Rattus norvegicus: one gene and its partner. The protein of the gene in region 2 interacts with the protein of the main gene of each other region in a pairwise test. Links are inferred from orthologs where the notes say so. Each region holds a gene or a part of one and is shown on either strand. Other genes may lie near its edges.

The links. The genes of interacting proteins can lie anywhere in the genome.
Region 1: the proteins of Cdc25b (region 2) and Cdk2 interact in a two-hybrid assay, tested with the Homo sapiens proteins (2 studies listed by BioGRID and IntAct). The link is inferred for Rattus norvegicus from reciprocal best matches to the Homo sapiens genes CDC25B and CDK2.

The regions. Positions count from the first base shown.
Region 1 is NC_086025.1:1,717,471-1,725,158, reverse strand, and holds the start of Cdk2 (cyclin-dependent kinase 2), read left to right. Parts: upstream 1-3,280; 5' UTR 3,281-3,430; coding exon 3,431-3,546; intron 3,547-3,608; exon of another isoform or gene 3,609-3,825; intron 3,826-4,242; coding exon 4,243-4,320; intron 4,321-4,418; coding exon 4,419-4,539; intron 4,540-5,689; coding exon 5,690-5,860; intron 5,861-7,085; coding exon 7,086-7,187; intron 7,188-7,688. Other genes in the region: melanocyte protein Pmel 17 precursor, read right to left, coding at 1,816-1,888. UniProt on the Homo sapiens protein: Serine/threonine-protein kinase involved in the control of the cell cycle; essential for meiosis, but dispensable for mitosis. Phosphorylates CABLES1, CTNNB1, CDK2AP2, ERCC6, NBN, USP37, p53/TP53, NPM1, CDK7, RB1, BRCA2, MYC, NPAT, EZH2.
Region 2 is NC_086021.1:138,856,569-138,864,150, reverse strand, and holds the start of Cdc25b (M-phase inducer phosphatase 2), read right to left. Parts: upstream 3,979-7,582; 5' UTR 3,789-3,978; coding exon 3,589-3,788; intron 2,846-3,588; coding exon 2,724-2,845; intron 2,096-2,723; coding exon 2,044-2,095; intron 1-2,043. UniProt on the Homo sapiens protein: Tyrosine protein phosphatase which functions as a dosage-dependent inducer of mitotic progression. Directly dephosphorylates CDK1 and stimulates its kinase activity.

The sequences.
Region 1 (7,688 bases), on a different chromosome or scaffold from region 2:
CAGGGCATGTGCTCAGGAGTCAGCAGCGTAGGATCACCATGAGGTTGACAGCATGAACTACAAAGTGGATTGTAGAGCAACCCAGTCTAAAGAACTTTGTCTCAGAAGGAGGAGGAAGAAGAGAAGGAGAAGGAAAAGGAGGAGGTATTGGTGTAAGGGAGGAAGAAGAGGGGGAGGAGGAGGGGAAAAAAGAAAAAAGGAGAGGGAAGGAGGGAGGGAAGAAGAGAGGGAGGGAGGGAAAGAGAGACAGAGACAGACCAGGGAGAGGAGGAGAGGAATAAGAAGCAGGTACAGGGGCTGGGGATTTAGCTCAGTGGTAGAGCGCTTACCTAGGAAGCGCAAGGCCCTGGGTTCGGTCCCCAGCTCCGGAAAAAAAAAAAAAAAAAAGAAGCAGGTACAGGTTGGAGGTGGGGACAGAGCAGACATAATTATTATAATTTAATTGGGTATAGTGTGTCACATCTGTAATCCCAGCATTCAAAAGAAGGAGCAGGAAAATCACTGCAAGTCGGAGGCCAGCTGGGGTTACCCTGGGAGACCAGAGCTAAAATGTATGACTGAAAAGAAAGGAATAAAATGAGCTTCCACATCCCTTACCTGAATCCAGATCCCAGATCCCACCAACAGTTTGATACATTTGCTTTATCCTTACTGCTTGCTGGTCCTGTCTGAAGTTTGTATTCAGAAGAAAAATCTTGGGCAAATGAGGTGGCTTATGGGGTAAAGATGCTTGCTGCCTAGCCTAATGTTCCCCAGACTCACATGGTGGGAAAAATACAAAAACTAAAGTCAGGGTTTGAAATGTAAGCACAGTGCCTTAAGAACCTCGACCTGTGGGTATCAACAGAACATTTGCACATTAAGGAACTCCATCTCAAAAAAGAAATGAAAAGAAAAAAAAGCCTGGAAATTGCAGTACAAATGAAGAAGCCAGATTAAGGAACTTTCACACACACACACACACACACACACACACACACACACACACACACACACAAGCACACGTATCAGCACAGAGAACTGTCCTTAACCCAAGTCTAATGTCCACAGGAAGGAAGCCCAGGGTTCTGCTGGGGGTTTGGTCTATGCTCCTCTCAGCCACTGAAGAGCAGTCATAAGATGCACTATTCTTTTTGACTGCCCGCTCTCCCTCCTCAGCAGCAGGACATTCCAGACGCTCTCACCACCCTTCACTCCCTCCCCTTGCCCCTGTCACGAGGCCTCAATCCCCCAGAGTCCTTTCATGTGATGCTCAGCTGAGACCCTTCTAGACCTCTCCCAACCCTGGCACATAAGTCCTGGCTGTATTCACCTGCCCCAGCCCAAGTGCAGAAGGCAGTATGTATCAGTTTGGTCTTGTTGAACACCCTATTCTTTTTTACTCTACATCTCCTACCACTAGCACTTAAGATATTACCCAAAGGATCTCCCTGCTCATGTCACCTCCGTGGAGCCCCTGCTTCAGCTGATTGCTTTAGGAAGCCTCAGAATTAGTGCTGTGCCTTCTGCCCCTTGCATCAAATAGGAATACTTTTATGCTTCACATCTGAAGCTGGGCACAATAGTTTAAGTCTGTAATCCCAGTACTTAGGAAGTAGAAACAAGAGGATCAGGAGTTCGAGTCCATCCTTGGGTATATAATGAATCTGAGGCTAGCCTGGGCTACACTGGACCTGTCTTAAACAAATAAAAAACAAACAAAACTATATTCTCACCAAATCAAATAGAGCCAGCCTGAAATATTTTTACTTGTCTGATTAGAAGGTGGAAATCCAGAGCAGCTAATAGCACTTGCTCCTGACCACACACACTCACCTTCTATAGACCCCAAAGCCAGCAGAGCACCCAGCACAAGCACAGGAAGGAAGCACCTTCTCTGGACACCCATACTGGTCCTCCTTTCAGCAGCCAAAGGTACCAGGGGGTGAGAATGAGCCCCTATATAGAAGGGGATGCTCATTTGCATAGGCCTTCCTCCTCTCCCTCCAGAGGAGGGGAAACCTGGGAAGAAGGAAAGGGCCGGAACTGATTTCATCCCATTGCTCCAATGACAGTGTCTGGTTTCACTGGGTCACATTCACTGACACACACTTATTCTGGAAAGAGTTCGCTGATGGGCAGCCGCAATTCATATACTTCACAGTCACAGTTCAGCAAGGCAGAGTCAAGAGAATTGAGTCAAACCAAAGAGTTCCTTAAGACAGAAACAGCACCTTTATCCAAAAGCAGCCAGAAGGGGCTGGGAGTGTAGATTGCCAGCAATGAAACAACACAAGCAGCCAATGAACCCCGAAACAGTGAGACAGTATTAAGCTAGGCTGAGAAACGACTCTGTTATCTAGCCAAAGAATCCTTTACAATAAGAGTCCCGATTGATTTTCCAGCCTGGCCTACAGAGCGAGTTCCAGGACAGCCAAGATTACACAGAGAAACCTTGTCTGGGAAAAAGAAAAGAAAGAAAAAGGAGGGAAGGAGGGAGGGAGAGAGGGAGGGAGAGGGAGGGAGGGAGGGGAAGAGGGGGAGGGAGAGGGAGGGAGGGAGGGAGAGGGAGAGGGAGAGGGAGAGGGAGAGAGAGAGAGAGAGAGAGAGAGAGAGAGAGAGAGAGAGAGAGAGAGAGATTGAATTCGTGTTCCACATGGCCTCACCCGGGAAACCGAGCCAAACGGATCTCTGTGAGTTTGAAGACAACGTGGACTTTTGAACGCATTCCAGCCAACAAGGGCTGCATTATGAGATGTTTCAGAAAAGCAGGTGGGAGTGCTGGAGAAACGGCACCTCTGTTGAAAGCACAAGCTGCTCTTGCAGAAGACCAGAGTTCGCCCAGGACCTCAGCTCCCGGGGATCTGCTGTTTCCGTGAAAACCTACAGATACGCAAACACACACCTAATTTAAAATACGTATTTTTTTCTTTTAAAGATTCCCAGGTTTAGTTTTTTAAAAGAGACTTTCTTGGCCAGGTGGAATTTAATCTCACCCAAGGGATGGTGAAAATTGTGAGGGAAAGGTAAGAAAAATCCGTAGACCAGAAACAACACCAGTTCTGGCCCGCGGAACCTAAACCAGGAACTAGGGGAAAGTTGCGCCTCGGCCCCTCCGCTCGCCTGCCGGGGGCGGGGCCTCTGAGGCGGGAGCGCGGGGTCCGGTCCGCCCTCGTGACGTGAACCAATCGGAAGGACGGGGGGCGGGGCCAGGGAAACGCGGGAAGGAGGGGCGGGGCCTCGGATGGCAGGCTGGAGCAGTGGGGGAGGCGGCAACATTGTTTCAAGTTGGACAAATTGTCAAGAGCTGAGCTCTGCTTGCGTTCCATCCCGAGCTAGGGCTGCCGTGCTCACCCGGGCCCCCAGGTCCTCCGCTCCGAGTGTCCGGCCCGCTTTCGTCAGGGTTCCCGGGCCCCGCTCCCGGGGGCCTGAGCCGCCTCACTAGCGCTCCATGGAGAACTTCCAAAAGGTGGAGAAGATTGGAGAGGGCACGTACGGAGTGGTGTACAAAGCCAAAAACAAGTTGACGGGAGAAGTTGTGGCGCTTAAGAAAATCCGGCTCGACACGTGAGTGGCCTCCGAAGCCGGAACTCCTTTGCCCGGACCTCTTGGCTGCCCCCCCCCCCAACCCCTTACCCAAACAGGCGGGTAGCCTCCCGGGACCGGAAGGTGGCGGGGAGGGACTCCTGAAGCGAGCGGTGGGTTGGCGGACGGTGGACGCTCTCCCGGAGGAGACTGTCCGGGGCTAGAATTCAGGGGAAAGTTTCTTGTCGTGCTCCTCCCGGTGTGCTCCCAGATCTGCAAGCCGAGAGACTTGGGAAGAGAAAGTGGGAGGTGGGAGCTGAGGTAGGATCCAGGGCTGTTCATGGAGTTGGGTTATGTGGGAACCAGAGAAAAGCTCCTTTCTGAGTGGAGAGCTCTTCTCACTACTCCAGCACCATACTTAGAACCCTCACCCTCTTTCAAAAGAATGGCAGTTGAGATTCACTGGTTCTCTGGGGAGGCTGGGAGCTACTCTCAACCCCCTCCGCTATTACCTTTCCTCTGCTTTTTATTCACCTGGAGGCTTCCCTTATCTTCCACTGGAAAAAGAGGAAATAATGACCTTGAATATTGTCTAAAAGCCACACCCTGACTACCCAGGAATTAACCCCTGACAACACCTTTCCTTTCTGACTTCCTAATGGGTTTGGGGGTTGTGTATCCCTGAAAGAATAATGTTTGTAACCGTCTTCCCGCCTCTGTTTCCCCAACCTCTCCAAGTGAGACTGAAGGTGTGCCCAGTACTGCCATCCGAGAGATCTCCCTCCTTAAGGAGCTCAATCACCCTAACATCGTCAAGTAAGTCTACTCTGAGGGATGATCCCCAAGATGAATTCTGTTTGCTTGGCCTCACAATTTCTCTCCCTCAACTCTGGTTCCTGGAACTTCCCTTGCAGGCTGCTGGATGTCATCCACACAGAAAATAAGCTTTATCTGGTGTTTGAATTCCTGCACCAGGACCTCAAGAAGTTTATGGATGCTTCTGCTCTCACTGGCATTCCTCTTCCCCTCATCAAGGTAATCCTGCTCAAGTCTAGCCTACACGCTTTAGGGGAAACTAGAAGCAGGTAATTCGGACTAGTAATGATTTATTTTGGCTTTTTTTCCCCTCAGACTTCTGACTTTAACACACTCCCCCCTTTCCTGTCATTAGTCATTAACCCTAGAATGGACAGAAGAATCCAAATTGAGCTCCTGTGAACCAACCAAGGCAGCTCAGGCAGGAAGGAGATCAGATAACACTCAGATACAGGAGATTGAGGGTAGATGAGTTCCTTGAAATAAATTCTCCCACCTGTGGTGTGGGAAAAACTAATCAGTGAGTCTCTGTGGTCTGTTTTCAAGCTAGGCTGGATCCTGGAAGCACTTTGAATGTATCAGCAAGTACCTACTCAACACATAGTCACTTAACACCTTCAGTGTTGCTAGACACGGGGGTTGAAAAAAGGGATGCAAAAGTTGAGTAGTATCTGGTCTATATCCTTGCCAGGCTGAAAATTCAGTGAAAGACATCGCTATTAAAGGTGTGGTTATGCTGTAGTTGTGTGTGTTGGTTTGTGTCTGTAATCCTAACACTTGGGAGGCTGAGGCAGTAGGATGTAAGTACAAGGGCAGCCAAGCTACAAAGTTCCAGGCCAGAAAGACAGTATCTTTAAAAACAAGCAGGACTGACAAGATAGCTCAGTGGTGAAAGCGCCTGCCTCCAAGCCTAATGACTTGACGGCCTGAACTCCATCCCTAGGTCCCACACAAGAAGAAAAGGAGCTCCTGCAAGTTGTCCTCTGACTTCTACACATGCACTGTGGCATGCCCCTGCCCCCATAAATAAACAAACAAATAAAATGTAACTAAAGAATTAAAGAACCCCTCCCCAAGTATATGGTATAGTTCTTGTGCAGCATATTGAATTTTTTTTAAAGATTTATTTATTTATTATATATAAGTATACTGTCGCTGTCTTCAGACACACCAGAAGAGGGCATCAGATCTCATTACAGATGCTTGTGAGCCACCATATGGTTGCTGGGATTTGAACTCAGGACCTCTGGAAGATCAACCAGTGCTCTTAGCTCCTGAGCCATCTCTCCAGCCCAGCATATTGAATTTTGAGGATAAAGAATAAGTCATATCTGTTTGATGAAACAAACCTCCCTCTCTCCTTTGTCAGAGCTATCTGTTCCAGCTGCTCCAGGGCCTAGCATTCTGCCATTCTCACCGTGTCCTGCACCGAGACCTTAAGCCCCAGAACCTGCTTATCAACGCAGAGGGGTCCATCAAGCTGGCTGACTTTGGACTAGCAAGAGCCTTTGGAGTCCCTGTCCGTACTTACACTCATGAGGTAAGTCCCTTTATGGTTTTCCTTAAGGATCTTGGGAGATGGGGCTGGAGAGATGGCTTAGTGGTTAGGAGCACTGACTGCTCTTTCAGAGGTCCTGAGTTCGATTCCCAGCAACCACATGGTGGCTCACAACCATCTGTAATGAGATCCGATGCCCTCTTCTGGTGTGTCTGAACAGAGTACTCATATACATTAAATAAATAAATTTTTTTTTAAAAAAAGGATCTTGGGAGATGTTCGTAAGAGCATTTGGAAATTACCAAAATTTGGGGCAAGAGTTCTTTGGTGAATGGAATCTCTGACAACCCAAGGGCCTTTAATTATTTATGTAAAGTGTATGAGTGTTTTGCTTGCACATGTATCTGTACCATATGCCTGCCTGGTGCTCACAGAAGTCAGAAGAAAGTGTCTGATACCCTGGAACTGCAGTCACAGATTGTAGTGATCTGGGAATTGAACCTGGGTCCTCTGTAAGAACTACAAGCGCTCTTTTTTTTTTTTTCCGGAGCTGGGGACTGAACCCAGGGCCACTTGCTAGGCAAGCGCTCTACCACCGAGCTAAATCCCCAACCCCCTTATTTATTTACTTAATGTACTACTGTAGCTGTCTTCAGACACACCCAATCCCATTACAGATGGTTGTGAGCCACCATGTGGTTGCTGGGAATTGAACTCAGGACCTCTGGAAGAGCAGTCAGTGCTCTTAACGCTGAGCCATCTCTCCAGCCCACAACAAGCGCTCTTAACTGCCAAGTCATTGCTCTAACTTTTACCAACAGGGTCTTAAGATATGCACTGAATTCATATTACAAAGTTGCCTCGACTTGGATACTAGGCCAGGAAAACGGGTTGCTATATCATTTAAATATCTCAGATTTTCTAGGAAGGTCCCAAATCTGGGGATTTAGAATACATTACTGGATAGACAGATGGCTCGACAGTTAGGGGCGTGTAATATTCTTGTAGATGACCTGTATTCAGTTCCCAGAGCCCATGACTGGCAGTTTGCAGCCACCCTCAACTCCACCTCCAAGGCATCAGACACTTTGTTCTGGCTTCTAAGGGCACTGCATAGTTGTGGAAACCTACATAGACCTGCATGTATTCACATTATTGAAATTTAAAAAAACAGTGAAATCATTTTAAAAGAAGCTGGAAGGTTGTGTTGAACTGAGGTATGTGGCCCTCCCTCCCTTGTAAGCCCTGCTGTCGTCTTGTTCCCCAGGTGGTGACCCTCTGGTACCGAGCACCGGAGATTCTTCTGGGCTGCAAGTACTACTCCACAGCCGTGGACATCTGGAGCCTGGGCTGCATCTTTGCCGAAATGGTACGGAGGCTTGCCAGGCTCTCTACAGCCCACCCATACCCACATCCAAGAGCAAAGCCCATCTTCTTGCCAGGAACCACAGTGCTTTTATTCAGGGTTCTCTCACCTGTCACCACTCTAGAGGTGGTTGCCCTGATACCAACTACAATTTTGGAATATCCCTACACAGATTTAGTTAACTAGTATCTATCTCTTATTTCCCAAGTGAGCGCAGACCACTCTGTGCCCATTCAGCTATTTTGTTTTGGTTGCTCTGTTTTGAGATCGTCTCACTCTGTAGCCCAGACTGGCTTTGTATTCTTGATCGTGTGCTTGGGCTCCACTTTCCACTGTTACCATCTAGCCCATGAGATTGACTTGACAGGCGTGAGCCACCCCGCTGGCTCTACTCATACAGCTGTTTCGGCTTTAATCCTCAAATATTTGGAAGAATGAATTCCATTGAGTACAACAGGTGGCCCACAGTCCACATGCTTCCGATGATAGCTGTGGATGTGGCCT
Region 2 (7,582 bases):
GGGCCAGCAACAAGGGCAAGGATGAGGGCCTGTGGTCAGGCTCTAGGAGGGGAGAGTAGAAAATAGTGCACTGTTGGTGGGACCAGGGACCAAGGAGGAAGGGTTTGAGGCAGCCTGGAATTGTAAAGGCTGCTGTGAATGAAAAGCAGGCCCAGAGAAAGGCAGTGATGGAGACAGCTGGGGCAGGTCACAGGGTCATTAAGACATCACCAAGGCAACAGTCTCGCCAGCCTGCACACACAAGCACAGGCCTTCCACCTGTATGCAAATTACATTACTGGGGCCATATGGCCACCATGAAAGGCATTGATCCATCCCAGACAACAGGCTGAAGGTACCCTGTAATATAGGTGACCCTGGGGGTGGATGCCAGCAATGCTGGGTTTCCCTTTCTGCTAGCCACTGGCCTGGCTCCCTGGACAGGGGCTGCTTTGGTGATTTTTCTGGATCAGCCCAGCAGACCCTTTAGTGACAAGTATACAGGGTTACATTCTCTCCTCCCTCCTATGGAATTTTCTAAGACCCAACCTCTGTTCCACCCCCTCCTTCTGTCTTAGAAGAGGCCAGCCAGCAAGGAATTCCAACAGATGCTCCATTTGAGGCTGAAGCGTCAACTTCTACATACAGGCCCTGCCTTCCAATGTTGCTGGAGCACCTGTCATGTGGAGCTTAACACACACACACACACACACACACACACACACACACACACACACACACGTACACCCCAGCTTCTTTCTGAGAAGCTGTAAATAGTCAAAAGTAAGTGCAGACTAACTGGAGAGGCACTTAGTGTCCAAGTGACCCTCAGAGAGGCCTGTGTGCAATCAACCTGGCATCATTTGTAGCTGGGCCTCAGGGGTGAGGGATCTATCTGTGTTGTCGCTAAAAAACAACGTACACTCCTCCCATCCCCACCCAACTCTCGATTTCCTGTTTGTGAATAAACCTTGAGACCAGCACAGTCTGATCAAAGACATCAGGGGGAAATAGTAACCCCCGCCCTAAACCAAAAGCTGTGACTGGCAATGCCCAGCTGTTCCTCCTAATGACTGACAGCTACTCCACAGCTGGATGGGAACAGGTGTGCTCTACAAGGCTCTATTGTGCCACAGCCAAGGAGGAGGAGTCTGCTCACAGCAAAGACCAGCTTTCTCCTCTCCATTCCCTGTTGCAAAGGGTCTGGTCAAGGGTCAGCCAAAAGCACCAAGTGTCAGGGAAAACTGGGAGCTGCTGATGAGCCAGGCCAGTCTGCAAATGCAATTTTTGTTTGGCCTCGGTTGGCCTTGAACTGCCTATCTTTCTGTCTGATCTTCCAGAGTGTTGGGCCACCACACCCAACAGGACCATATTTTTTTTCTTTTTTTTTTGGAGCTGGGGACCGAACTCAGGGCCTTGCGCTTGCTAGGCGAGCGCTCTACCACTGAGCTAAATCCCCAACCCCAGGACCATATTTTTAAGTTTGAAAAAAATGTTACATGTACAAAAAAATGTATACAGGAGAAAAAGAAAAGTGGGAACATGAGGGGCATTGTTTTTCTGAATGACAATGTTAGCTGGACTAATATTGGAGTATACTTTCCCAGAGGCCATTGTTCCTGTGACCTGTGGTCCTGAGCCCACGTTCCTCTGGTTTCTATGGTATCAGGCCTTCTCTGAATAAGGAGCCAATTCTTAAGACTTAGGAAGAAACCAACCCCTCGCAATGGGGATCCTGAGGAACCTGCCTATTATTTGGTTTCCCTTTCTTAAGCAGGATACTGGGGGCTGGAGAGATGGCTCAGTGACGAAGAGTATTTGTTATTCTTGCAGAGGACCTGAGTTCAGTACCCAGCACCCACATATGGCAACTCACGACAGCCTGGAATTCTAGCTCTAAGTGTTCCAAGGCCCTCTCTGACCGCTATAGGACAACACGCTTACACGCACATATCCCCATGTAGAAAACCATATAACACATAATTAAAAACACATTAAAGAAAGATCAGTCCTCAAGGGCAGGTGCCAAGTCCTCAGTGGAAGGACTCCTCCCCCTCTACTCACGTGCGCTCTGCTGTCTGTGGGTCCATAGGGCTAGGGGAGTCCATGCAGAGACCTGGTGGGACAGAGCACCTTGGCTTGCAGGTAGCAGCCTTTCCTGCTTACTTTTTCCCCAAGAAAGGGAAAAGAAACCTCTTTCTCTTTGAGATCAAGGCATACTTTAATGGGACACTGCCCCCATAGGACGAGGGGCTACATTCTCTATTTACTATGGGAAACGTATCTGCACTTTTTTGTTTTATTTATTTATTTTTTAGTGCTTTCTAAGCATTTTTCTTAAGCTGGTTTAAAACAACTTGGAAAAGATAATGGTTTTCTAAGGAGAAAAGGCTACAGCTTAAGAGAATGCTTCACAAGGACAGGCTTTTGGTACCAAGTGCTGTCTGGGTGGAGCTGTAGTTCAGTGGCTTTACCGCTAGGTTTCAAATAAGTAAGATACCATCTCCTACCAAGAGTCGTCCTTCCCCAGACTCCCAGTTTAGGCTGGGTGTGGTAAGACCCACCAGAGGTTTGTTTGCTTCATAGTTTTGAAGGCAAGCTGGGGGATGATTCTGTGGAAAGGACCGGGATCTATCTCATGGGCAGAGAATTTAGAAGGTCCAGAAAGTTCCCTGATCTCTTTTGGTGGTGGTGGTGGTGGTGGTGGTGGTGTGTGTACCCCCACTACGGGCCCTGGGCCTTACCTGCATCAGAAGATTCTGAGGACTCAGATGACAGGGAGCACTCAGAGGTACGTCTGGACAGGGACAGGTCTGTCAGCCTGTTCTGGAACGACAGGCTTCCTACTTGAGTTTTTGGGGTCTCGCTAGGAAAGGAGAAAGAGGCACAGAGGAGGAGAAAAAGAAATTAATGTTGGATTTGGAAGCTGGTCAGCCCATGCTCCCATGAATTCCCCAACTATGAAGGGCCCATCTATCTGTCACTGAGAGGTGATCCTAGAACTAGCCTGTATCTCAAGTCAAAGCATTTCATTCTACTGAGGCCCGAGAGGGTCTTCTCTGCGTTGACTGGTTCAGGAAAGACCCTTCTAAGTGTCTGGAAGAGTGAGAAGGATGGGCAGGAGACAGCCCAGAAGCTCTGGAGAACCTTCTCCTGCTGGGCACATCCTCACCTCGCCAGCATTTCCCAGGAGGCAAAGGCTAAGCAAGACCCGGCTCTCTGCTGCAGCTGGACCGACCACCCAGCTGGGACCCCACAGGTTAAGGAGGTGGCCCGTCTTTTTTCAGTTTAAGCCTTAGGGGAGTAGGTGAGATATTTTCAAAGAGCAGGGCGCAGCCTTTTAAGACCCACTTCTAGGCCAACCTCATGATCCTCTGCCTAAGAACAGTGTGCAGGAGGCACAATGAAGGAGCAGTGAGGTAAATGATCCTTAGACGGCCAGTCATCTGGAGGGTGTAAGTCGCATAGCTTCTGACTCAGCACACTGGTCCCATGTCACTGAAACAAGGCTAAAGGCGTCGGTGTGCTGCACTCCGTGGCTCTGGTGCCTAGTGTCTCCTGGTCCCGGCCTCCCATCCCACCACACCCAGTGCCCTTGGGGCATCCTACCTGCCGAGCCCTGCGAGGTTGTACATGGTCTGGGTAAGAGTGGTAACCGGAGAGGAGGAAGCCGCACGCTCTGGAGACCCCAGCAAGCCATCAGACCCAAACCCAAAGCCTGAGAGGTGGCGCGGCCGCTGAATGCCACCCAGCACGCGGGCAGTACTGAGAGCTGAGCCCGGCGCAGACTTCTGCGGGGGTACCTCCATGGTGGCGGGGCGGGCAAAGGCTAGCTAGAGGGCCACAAGTACAGCGGCCAGCAGACGCCGACCCAGATGGCTAGGCTCCGAGAGTGAGCCTGGGGTAAGGGGAAGGAGGGAGGGGAGGGAGGGAGGAAGAGCAGTGGGCCTGGGAGTGAGGAGAGGGATGTGGGGAGGAAGGGAGGGGAAGACGCGAGCTGGGCAGCTGCCACCTCCACCTCCTTATATATTCGAAAAATAACAGCGGCAGCGCCGCCAGACGCCACCAATGGGGGCGCCGGTTCCGGGAGGGCGGGACCAAGGGCGGGGCGCTGGTGGCTTGGGCTGAGGCTGGACCAGCTACTTCTGCCGGCTTGGCTTCTTAGGGTGGGTGACTCAGGGAGTTGGGTTAACCCCCTGTTCCACACATACCCTCCGCTCCCTTTGACACGAGAATCCTGGTCTCCAGGATATTGCCTCATGGGACAGGGTTTGGAGGTACATAACCTCAGAAGGAGTAGCCATCACTTAGGGTGGCCTCGTAAGGAGCCCTCGACGTTTACCATCAGTGCACGGTCACCGGTAAGGGTCGGTGCTACACTCTGCTTGAGCCTAGGACGTTTGCCAAGTTTGCTGTGAGCTCTGCGTTCCCTGTCCGGTTTACAGACCGAGCGTTGAAAAGTTCCGTGACTCGTTTAAGGTCACGGGTTTGGTTGAATGGCGGAGACGAAGATGCACCCTCCCGGGCTCCTCTGATCCTGCAGCCTCCCTGTCAACGCCCCTAGGCCGCAGAGAGCAGCTGCAGTCATTCAACCGCGGCGCTTTGCGAGGCACAGAGGAACTGCCTCACTGAGCTAAGCCCAATAGTCTCCCCTATAACCCCTGAGAATTAAACGTTTAGATTTACGCAATGATTTCTGCAGCAGGCAGTTGGGAGCAGCCAGAGAACCCAGTAAGGGAAGAATCTCACACCCACTATGGCTTGGCTAATTTGGGGTTAATAGCACCATAGTGTTTCTTTGAAAGTAAAAGAGGCTGAATTTGCTATTAGTTTACAATGAGCGTTTTCTAACGATCTAATCACCTTGCAGGCGAGAGTCTGTTTTCCTGGAATGAGCTGGGAAGGACCTAGTAAGTAGTTGGGAACTTTTTCAAATTCCCCAGTGAGGGTGTGGCTTCTGGGACGGTCATGGGGTGCAGTATAGGATCTAGGAGCTGAGAGCAGCCTTGAACACCTGCCTTTGCTATTTTAACCACCACCCTAGGCCCACCAGGTAAGAATGGCAAAGGGGTAACTAAGGGTAGGGATAGAGTCTAAGAGGTTCAGCTGTGAATAAAGGAGGACACTAGACACACCTGAGTGGAGTGCCCGAGGTAGGAACCACGACCTGACCACTTTTTTCTTTCAACATTTTGCCCAGTTCCTGTGGTATGTCAGGAACTTATATACTGCTACTGGGGACCCATTTCTTATTCCAGTCATAAGTCAAGACCTTAGTGCCAGGACCAGGAGAGAAATGTGTCCCCACATGGCCTTCCATTCCAAAGACCTGAAATAAAATTGCTCCAAGGAGTATATTTTCAAAACCAACATAGCTGGTTTCCCTCAACCTGCATCTCAGCTCACACACTGTTTGGGGTGAGGAGGAGCCATGCTGTGTTGAGTTTTGATCACTTGAATCTCATGAAGTTCCACAACTGAAAGGTTCTCCTTGTCCCAGTGGAGGAGAGAGATGTCCTTTCCACGGCAACTGACACCCACTCACACCCTCCTGAACCTCACTTTTCCACTTAGATCATAAAATACATACTCAACTAAAACAACAAATTGCTCTTAGAGATTGAAGGCCACCCAGAGACTGTCCCACCTGGAGATCCATCCCATCTGCAGACACCAAACCCAGACACTACTGCTGATGCCGAGAAGTGCTTGCTGACAGCCTGATACAGTTATTTTCTGAGAGGCTCTACCAGATCCTGACCAATACAGATGCTGATGCTCAAAGCCAACCATTGGACTGATCACAGGGACCCCAATAGAGGAGTTAGGGGAAGGACGAAGGAGCGAAAGGGGCCTTATCTGGCATCAATGGGAGGGGTGGCTTGGGTCCTATGAAGGCTTGATGTTCCAGTGTAGAGGAATGCTAAGGCAGTGAGGTGGGAGTGGAAGGGTAGGTGAGTGGGAGGAGCACCCTCATAGAAGCAGGGGTAGGGGGGTATGATAGGGGGTTTACACAGGGGAAACTGGGAAAGGGGATAATCTTTGAAATGTAAATAAATAAAATATCCAATTAAAAATTTGCTCTTTTTTGAGATTAGGAAGAGGAGTGCTATATTATGTAAACCTGGCTGGCTTCTGACTCTGTGTGTAGAGCAAGCTGGCTTCAACTTTATGGTGACTGGGCTGTTTTTGATTCCTGAGTGTTGGGAATTTCAGGCATGGAGTGCCACTGCCCGCAGGTTAAAAATCTCACGGTGCAGCCCGCAGAGTTTTATGTCACAGGCGCTTTGCCTGTGTGTGCACCATTTGCCTGCTTGGTGCCTGTGCAGGACAGAAGAGGACTTCAGATCCCCTGAAACAGAGGGTTGTGAGCTGCAATGTGGGTGCTGGGAGTCAAACCTGGGTCCTCTACAAGAGCAGGCAGTGTTATTAACCTAGAGCCATCTCTCCAGGGCCTTTTTAGGAACGGTGTTTCCTCTACTAGTCCCCCAACACACACCTTTTTTTTTTTTTCCATAGGTGTGACATGTTAAATTTTTGTGCCACTAAAACCTCAAAGAACAACATCTTATGATACAAAAGACAGCCCCACCCCTAAATCTTCAGAAACAGCACTGTGAGAAATTTCTTGTATCACCTCCTGAAGATGATTCATATTTAGCCAAAGGAAGCATGGTGGCAGACGCGCATGGCGGCCACAAACAGAATTAAAGATTCCTTAGTAGCCACGTTCAAAAAGCAAAAGGGAAGCTAACCTCAGTCCTGTACTCTGTCAACTTACGGAGGAGGAGTGAGGAAAGAGGATCAGTGACAGTTTGAGGCCAGCCTAGGCTGTAGAGTGAGAGCCTGTCACAAACAAACAACCCCAAAGTACTACCAACAAAAATAGAAAAGGGTCTGAGGTGTGTCTCAGGGGCAGACCATTTGCCTAGCATATGCAAAGGCCTGGTTTCTGGCATCTGCTCATAACACAGCAAAAATATAAATAAATGCGGTAAGGATAGTAAGTTTTATATTTTAATTTTAGTATTGTATTTAATCTAATATACTAAAAGTATTACTGTGCTGGTTAGTTTTTTGTCAACTTGACACAAACTAGAGTCTTCTGGGGAGAGGAAACAAGAACCAGCTTTAGGCAAGCCTAAGGCTTAAACAGCATTTTATAGTAAAGACAAACTAGGTTTATTCTTGTTTATGACTAAGCCTCTGCTTCTCAAGGATTGGGCTATACCCCACCATAACCTTACCTACCAATGGCTCTGTGCTGCCTGTTCCAGGAATGGCGATCGTGTCCCTGTTTCAAACAGTTAGGACCATCTTGCAACCCTACCTTTGTTTTAAAGATTACTTGACCACTTATGACTACCAGTTGTTTTGACTACTTTATAATGCCCATCTTGCAACCATGTATTTGTTTTAGAAGGTCATTAGGAATAACTTGAGTTTGTGTTCTACTCCTGTAACCTCATCTATTCTGCCCACCAAACCTCCCATTGGAAACACCTACCCCTGAGCTATAAAGCCTTGTCTTCCTCACATCCAATGCTGACCTCTTAAGCCCCACCTTAGAGGGAGGCAGCCTTTGTGCAGACTAGAAAAGCTT